2 linked regions of the Saccharomyces cerevisiae S288C genome follow. The protein of the gene in region 1 binds, or shares a complex with, the protein of each later gene. Each region holds a gene or a part of one and is shown on either strand. Other genes may lie near its edges.

Region 1 (5,641 bases):
ATTTCCTTTAATAAATATTAATAATAATAATTAAAAATATATAAAAATATTATAAAATTTCTATTTTTTTTTATAATAATAATATTTTATTAATATAATATAAAAATAATAAATAATTATAATATATGATTTATAAACTTTATTATTTATTTATTTTTAATATTAAGAATATTTTATATTTATAAATTAATTAAATAATAATAAAAATATATATATTAAATTTTAATAAAATTAAATAAAATATTAAATTATATGATTATAATATTAATTAAATAATTAATAATAATATTATAAAGTTCCGGGGCCCGGCCACGGGAGCCGGAACCCCGAAAGGAGAATAAAATAATTAATAATATATATATATATATAAATGATAAACAAGAAGCTATCTGGGGTCCATTAATAATTATTATTTTCAATAATAATAGGGACCCCCCATCTATAAATATTAATATAAAAATAATATATAAATATTTAAATAATATATTATTATATAAATAATAATAATAATAATAAATAATTTAATTTAATTTAATTTAATTATTTTTCTCCTTTCTTAAAATATTTTAATAAATATATATATTATATATATATAAATTATAATAAAAATAATAATTTTATATTTTTATAAATTATATTAATATAATAAAAAAAATAATAATAATATTAATATTAATATAATATAATATATATTAAACATTATTTATTATTTATTGACAATATTTAATTCTATTGTTATTCAATAAATAAATAAATAAACAAATATTTATAAATAAATTTTATAATATAATATATATATATATATATAATATAATATAATATAATATAATTAAATATCGATAAATAATCTAATTGGTTATTGATAATTTATCATTAATTATTTATCATTAATAATTAATAATTGATTTTAATTATAATAATATTTATAATTTATAATAATAAATAAATAAATAAATAATAATTATAATAATAATAAATTTATTATGTAATTAAATTAAATTACATTGTGTTATATTATTTATTATATTAATTATATGAGGATTATAAATTATATATATTTTAATAAATATTAATTATTTATAATTATATACAATTAATAATATTTACTTTTTATATATATATTAATTAATATATATTTAATAAAGGATATATATTATTATAATTACTTTATTTGAAATAATTAAATTATAATAAAAAAATATAAAATTATAGTATAAATTGAGTAAATTATATACTTTTTAGTGAATATATATTTTATCAATATTAATATTAATATTAAAATAGGTATGAACCTCGAGTAAATTATTATTATTAATTAATAATAATTTATGATTTATGATTAATAAATAGAGGTAGGAGGGAGGAGTTCCGAACGAAATCCATAACCCCATATGAAGTAATAATTTAATTCCAAATTCAAATTAATTGAAACTTTTTATTTATATTAAAATAAATAAATATATTCTTCGACTATTTATATTAATATTATTATTATTATTATTATTAAAATGAATATTTATAGTTATAGTTATAATTATAATTATAGTTATAGTTATAGTTATAGTTATATAATAGGTGTTAACCTCGCGAGAAGGAGGAGTTCCGGAACCCAGCATGGGGGCCAATTAATTATATAATAAATAATTAATATTATTTATTATAATTATTATTTATAAAAAAAAAAAAATAAGTTTTAAATATATAACTATAGAGAAAAATTATATAATAAATTTTCCTTTATTTAATAAAAAGATTATAATCTTTATATATATTAACCATATATATATTTTTTATATATTATTATTAAATTTATAATTAAATATTATATTTATAAAATTTAAATTAAAATTTAAAATAGTCCGGCCCGCCCCCGCGGGGGGGGGCGGACCCCGAAGGAGTGAGGGACCCCCTCCCTAACCTAATGGGAGGGGGACCGAACCCCGAAGGAGTTTGGTTAAAGAAGATAAAGAATAAAAATTAAGAATATTATTTTATTTATTTTTTTTAATATTATATATTAAAATATAATAGAAAAAAGAGTATTATATATTAATATAAAATATATTAATATAAATAACTAACCGCCCCCGCGGGGGCGGTTTATATAATTTAATAATTAATATATTAATAATAATTATAATAGTCCGGCCCGCCCCCTGCGGGGCGGACCCCGAAGGAGTAATATATATATATATTTTTATTTAATTAACTATCAATAATAATTATTTATAATAATAAAATATAAATAGGATCCAAAAGTAGGATTAATTTATAATTTTATTTGATATTTATTTTTAATTAAATTATTATTATAATAATTATATAAAAAAATTAATTAATTAATATTTTTAATATAAATAAATTATAATTTTATTTTTATATAATTATATGATATTATATTATATTTTATTTATATATAATTATATATATATAAAAAGTAAATATTATTTTATATATTTATATATATATATATATTATTTATTTATTTATTTTATTTATTATATTTATTTTATTTCTCCTTTCGGGGTTCCGGCTCCCGTGGCCGGGCCCCGGAACTATTAATATATATATTAAATAAAGTTTAATTTAACTTTAATATTATATTTACCATTTTTATTAATATTAGAATTATTATATAAATTATGATTAGAAGGGATATAATTTAATTTATAATTATTATTAATATTACTTCATAAATATTTTTTATTATTAAAAGTACCATTTAATAAATTAAGTGTACTAGTTCTACCATTATTATTACTTAATCTACCTTTAAATTTAATAGATCAACCAACTAAATATTTATATATTAAAATATCTATAGGAATATTATCAATAGTTATATTATTATAAATATTATTAATATTACCAATATAATTATTATTATTATTATTATAATTATTATTATTATTAATATTATTATTATTATTTAATAAATTAATTATATTATTATATTTATTATTATTAATATTATTAATATTATTAATATAATTTATAGAAATATTATGATCATTTAATTTAGGCATAATATTATTTAATATACGTTGATAATTAGTTAAGATACCATTATTATATTTATCTATATCATTTAAACTAATATATTTACTAAAAATATCACTATTTAAATAAATATATGATAATTTAATAGGTTCAATAGTTACTTTTTTTTTATAATAATAACTTAAAATATTACATAAATTATTATTTATATTATTATTTATAATATTTATTAATTTATTTATTATATTTATATAATAATTATTATTATTATTATTATTATTATTATTAATATCATTATTATAATAATAAAATTTAATATTTAATTTATTTAAACTATGTTGATTAATAAGTTTACTTATAATAATTTTATTAATATTTATATTATTTAATTTTAAAGTTATTATTTTATATAATAATTTATTAATTAATTTATCATTTATAGTATTTATAATTTCTATATTTTTATTATAATTATAAATTTGTAGATTTCAATTATTTATATTATTTAAATGTTGTAATTTATTATTAATATTCCCCGCGGGACCAATCCGGTGAACAACCGGATTGGCGCCCGCGGGGTTTATATTATTATTATTTAATATTCTTTTTATATTATTTATTTTTTTATTATTTATATCTAATAATATATTCTTTAATAATAATTTCTTATTTATTAATGAATCTAATAGATTATTAATAATAATATTATTATTATTATTAAGTTTATTTATTATTGATAAAATTATATTTAATAATTTTAATTTCATTATTTTTTATTTTTACTTTTTATCTATTATATATACATATTAATATTAATATTAATATAAATAGAAATATATATATATATATAATATGCATCCTTATTATAATATTATTTATTATTATAAATAATAATATATTAGATATTTTTTGCAGTTATTAATAACATTATATTCTTTATAATAATAATATAAATCCCAAATAAAAAAAAATAATTATTATTAATAATTTATATATAAATAATTTATAAAATAAAATATTATAATTTTATATATAAAAATAAAAATATTATTAAAATAAAATATATCATAATATTATTAAAATATATATATAAATATATAAATATATATATATATATATAAATATAAAGAATTATTAATTATTTATAATTTTTAATATATTATTATTAATTAATAAAATAAAATCCCTTCTTAAGAATAAAAAGGGTCGGACCGGACTATTATATAAATAATATTATTAAAATAATAATTATTATTATTATTATTTTTATATATTTTATATTTATTAAAATTAATTAATTAATTAATTATTATTATTTATTTATTTATTTTATTTTTATAGGAATAATATTAAAATTATTATTATATATATGTATTATTACGGATGATGTAGGATTTGAACCTACGTAGCCAATAAAGACTAATGATAGCTCAAATATCACACTTTAAACCACTCAGTCAACCATCCTTAAGAGGAATATAAATATAAATATAAATATTAATATAAATATAAATATTAAATAAACTCCTTTCGGGGTTCCGGCTCCCGTGGCCGGGCCCCGGAACTATAAATATATTATATATATATATTATAAAAATCTTTAATATAATATTATATAATTATTAATATAAGAACTTTTAAACTTTTATTAATTTATTTTCTCCTTCGGGGTTCGGTCCCCCTCCCTAACGGGAGGGGGTCCCTCACTCCTTTCTTAAAATAAATTATTATTAATAATTATTATATAATAAGAATTAATATAATTAATATAATTAATTTTATAAATTATAATATTAAAATAATTATTATTATTATTATATAATTAATCATATATTTTTAATTTATTATATTTATTAATATAATATAAATTATTATTTAATATTTAATATTTAAATAATATAAACCCCGCGGGACCAATCCGGTGAACAACCGGATTGGCGCCCGCGGGGAATATTAATAAATTAAATATTTAAATAATTATAATTAAATATTATTAATGTATATATAAATTTATATATTATATAGATAGATAGATAGATTTATAATATATTTTATTATATTGTTATAATATATTATAATTTATTTATAAACCTAATTATTATATTAATTATATGAAAATTATAAATTATATATATTTTATTAAATATTAATAGTTCCGGGGCCCGGCCACGGGAGCCGGAACCCCGAAAGGAGATGTTCACTAATATTATATTAATATTAATATTAATATTATTAAATGAATAATACAATAAAAATTATATTGTGTTCAATTAAATATATTTAATATATTTATATATAAAGAATTTATTATTTATTAATAAATATTATCATAATATATATATTTCTTATTTATTAATAAATATTTTTATTATTAATAAATAATATATCTTATTATGGTAATTTATATTTATTTATATAAATGTTTATTATAACAATATTTATAAATTATTATTATTAATAATATAAAAAAAGTAATTATATATTATCCATTATTTATTTATTTATATATTAATATATTAAAAAAAAGGTATATTATATATTATTATTATTTTTTATTATAATTTATATATATTATTATTATTATAATATTTATATATTTTATAATAATTATATAATTATAAGAATGTTATTAATTTAATCA
Region 2 (3,786 bases), on another chromosome or scaffold:
CAACTCTGGAAATTCATCCACAATCTTGTCAGCAAGTGAATCTCTTAATTGCTTCAATCCATGCATCTTGCCTCTTTGATATTGGTTGGATCTTCTTATGGCTTCCACGAACTCTCTTGTGTAAATATCTGGATTTCTACCGTCCTCAATGTATTGAACAACTTCCAAGGGAATGTCCACCTTAGACAAGCTGGATTGAGGATCGTTGCTTCTCACGTTCAGCTTGTACAAGCGATCCACATTTCTTTGCAAGTTGGTGATCATTCCCTTGGTGGCTTCTGGAGTACCAGGAAAATCATATATCGAGACACCTAATTCAACGAAGGACTCAATAATCGAAGCCACTTGGTCTTGAGTAGTGGCCAGTTCTTGCTGCAATTGTTCATTGTTAGTGCTGTTTCCATTCATCTTATCGGTTTATTTTTCTATATATTTGCCTCTTTCTCAAACAGGAGTTAGTAGTTAAAAGTACGAAGTTCTTGTTCTTTAATGCGCGCTGACAAAAGAATTGGATAAAAGAGAATGGTGGGGGGACAAGAAGGAAATTTGTCCTAGTTTAACATGAATGGCATCTTGTTACCGGGTGGACATCACCTATTGATTCTAAATATCTTTACGGTTTATCATACTGTTCTTTATTCCGTCGTTATTCTTTTTATTTTTATCATCATTTCACGTGGCTAGTAAAAGAAAAGCCACAACATGACTCAGCAAATCTCGACAAAGTAAAAGCTCATAGAGATAGTATTATATTGATATAAAAAAAGTATACTGTACTGTTTGTAACCTTTTCAATGCTTTAAGATCAAAACTAAGGCCAGCAAAGGTATCAACCCATAGCAACTCATAAAATGAAGACCTATCATTTGAATAATGATATAATTGTCACACAAGAACAGTTGGATCATTGGAATGAACAACTAATCAAGCTGGAAACGCCACAGGAGATTATTGCATGGTCTATCGTAACGTTTCCTCACCTTTTCCAAACCACTGCATTTGGTTTGACTGGCTTGGTTACTATCGATATGTTGTCAAAGCTATCTGAAAAATACTACATGCCAGAACTATTATTTATAGACACTTTGCACCATTTCCCACAAACTTTAACACTAAAAAACGAGATTGAGAAAAAATACTACCAGCCTAAAAATCAAACCATTCACGTATATAAGCCGGATGGATGTGAATCGGAGGCAGATTTTGCCTCGAAATACGGGGATTTCTTATGGGAGAAAGATGATGACAAGTACGATTATCTGGCCAAAGTGGAACCTGCACATCGTGCCTACAAAGAGCTACATATAAGTGCTGTGTTTACTGGTAGAAGAAAATCACAAGGTTCTGCCCGCTCCCAACTGTCGATTATTGAAATAGACGAACTTAATGGAATCTTAAAAATAAATCCATTGATCAATTGGACGTTCGAGCAGGTTAAACAGTATATAGATGCAAACAATGTACCATACAACGAACTTTTGGACCTTGGATATAGATCCATTGGTGATTACCATTCCACACAACCCGTCAAGGAAGGTGAAGATGAGAGAGCAGGAAGATGGAAGGGCAAGGCCAAGACCGAGTGTGGAATTCATGAAGCCAGCCGATTCGCGCAATTTTTAAAGCAAGATGCCTAGATAGATAGAGTACGATATATAACCATATGTATGTGACTAATTATTTATTCCTTAATAACACCAATGATTACAACTTTCTAAAGCTGGCGGAGAATTCGCGCTGTACGAGAAAAGAGCGAAAACAGAGGAATATTCAAACTAAGAACCAAACTGCGATAAAGAGGATTGAAAGGAAAAACGAAAGAAAAGGTAAACTGACAAATATATACATTAACCGATGGGTAATTTCAGATTTCCTATAAAAACCAAGCTACCACCAGGGTTTATCAATGCTCGCATACTTAGGGATAACTTCAAAAGACAACAATTTAAAGAGAATGAAATCCTTGTTAAATCTTTGAAATTCATCGCTAGAAATATGAACCTTCCAACAAAACTGAGGTTGGAGGCTCAGTTAAAACTAAATGCATTGCCAAACTACATGAGATCTACGCAGATCAAAAATAGGTGCGTGGACTCTGGACATGCAAGATTTGTTCTAAGTGATTTTAGGTTGTGTAGGTATCAATTTAGAGAAAACGCTCTGAAGGGTAATTTGCCAGGTGTTAAGAAGGGTATTTGGTAAAAAATTTTATCGCGAAAGTATATATATATATATATATAGGATACGCACTTGTAAATAAATACATGATAATTTTTATTCTTCTTTAATAGATGATAATACTTACTGAGCAATACACTTATATGTAGAGAAGAATAAGATTATACACATACTGGGAGAAAAACAAGTAGCTATAGTTAGAGCTAAAATAACAAAAAAAGGCATACGTACATACAATGAGAAAAGGAATGGGATTGAAAAAGGGCAGTATCTGCCACTAAGTTAACGACTGAGAGATCGAGACACTCCTATAACAAGACACACTTCTTCTTCTTCTTTTCAGTAGTGTTCTTCTTAGCTTTACCATTCGTTTTAGATTTACCCATCAATGAAGCTCTAGTGGCGGCCTCAAACACTTCTCTGACACCATAACCAGTCTTGGCCGAACATTCGTAGTATCCGGTTGCGCCAATCTGGTCTGCTACAGATTGTCCCTCCTGTGATGTAACGGGTTGTTGACCTTCTTGTCTTAATTGTTCAATGGTTTGTGGGTCGTTTCTCAAATCCACTTTACAACCAACAAGAATAATTGGCACACCTTGACAGAAATGTAATACTTCGGCAATCCATTTTTCTTGTACATTCTCTAAAGAATCTGGAAGATCGATAGAGAAACAAATTAATACGACATTGGAGTCTGGGTATGACAATGGTCTTAGTCTATCATAATCTTCTTGACCAGCGGTATCCCATAGCGCTAGCTCTACACGACGCCCATCAACTTCAACATCTGCTACATAGTTTTCAAAGACAGTTGGTACGTAGACTTCTGGAAATTGGCCCTTGGAAAAGACGATTAATAAACATGTCTTACCACAGGCACCATCACCAACGATTACCAGCTTTCTTCTGATACTGTTACCAACTTGTTGTGACATCTTTCTAGTATAATTTTTAAAGTTCTATGATTTTCTATTAGTGCAACAATAAACCTCTAACAGCGATTCTTTTGTTTTATTAATTTTGTTCCTTTTTTGAGTTTTGTAACTTTAAGTTTGGGTTGTTCCAAAAATGTTTTTGCAATACTCAGAGGAATGATCGATGGTCGAAACGATATTAAAGACGAATTCCTGCTGGTAAAATAAATATATACGATTAGGATAAAGAAGTATTTGTATCAACTACTAAAACATGTAGTACCCAATACAAATCAAACAAAAATTGTATAATCTGTTTATTTTTTTTTCTGAGGCGAAGCAAATTGGAAACAACAAGAATTCTTGTATCTTTTTTTAGCCCCTTGTCACGCTGCACGACGCGTAGCACATTGATCGAGAATCACGATTTTATCAGCGACAATGTTATTGGAAATGAGGGAATTATACTGTGTTCTTGCAGTTATCGCTAAGGTTCCATAACCCAACCTCACAGATGAGGTCAGATTTAACTATTGACCTTCTTGAAACCAAATAGCCAGAATTCCATCTTGGTTCGTATTCGTCCTGGCAAGGCAACCTGTCCTTGCCGAATTTGTGAATTGTTTGATCTGCCATTAGCACATATAAAGTTTGTACTGCGGGATCGTAACTAATATCTTGAATAGGCTTG

The links.
Region 2: VAR1 (region 1) and MRP2 share a complex: the UniProt entries of both Saccharomyces cerevisiae proteins name them as parts of the mitochondrial small ribosomal subunit.

What each region holds. Positions count from the first base shown.
Region 1 is NC_001224.1:47,027-52,667, reverse strand, and holds VAR1 (mitochondrial 37S ribosomal protein VAR1), read right to left. Parts: upstream 3,768-5,641; coding exon 2,571-3,767; downstream 1-2,570. UniProt on the Saccharomyces cerevisiae protein: Component of the mitochondrial ribosome (mitoribosome), a dedicated translation machinery responsible for the synthesis of mitochondrial genome-encoded proteins, including at least some of the essential transmembrane subunits of the mitochondrial respiratory chain.
Region 2 is NC_001148.4:874,698-878,483, reverse strand, and holds MRP2 (mitochondrial 37S ribosomal protein uS14m MRP2), read left to right. Parts: upstream 1-1,854; coding exon 1,855-2,202; downstream 2,203-3,786. Other genes in the region: mediator complex subunit NUT2, read right to left, coding at 1-408; MET16 (phosphoadenylyl-sulfate reductase (thioredoxin)), read left to right, coding at 852-1,637; Rho family GTPase RHO1, read right to left, coding at 2,487-3,116; MMS1 (Mms1p), read right to left, coding at 3,558-3,786. UniProt on the Saccharomyces cerevisiae protein: Component of the mitochondrial ribosome (mitoribosome), a dedicated translation machinery responsible for the synthesis of mitochondrial genome-encoded proteins, including at least some of the essential transmembrane subunits of the mitochondrial respiratory chain.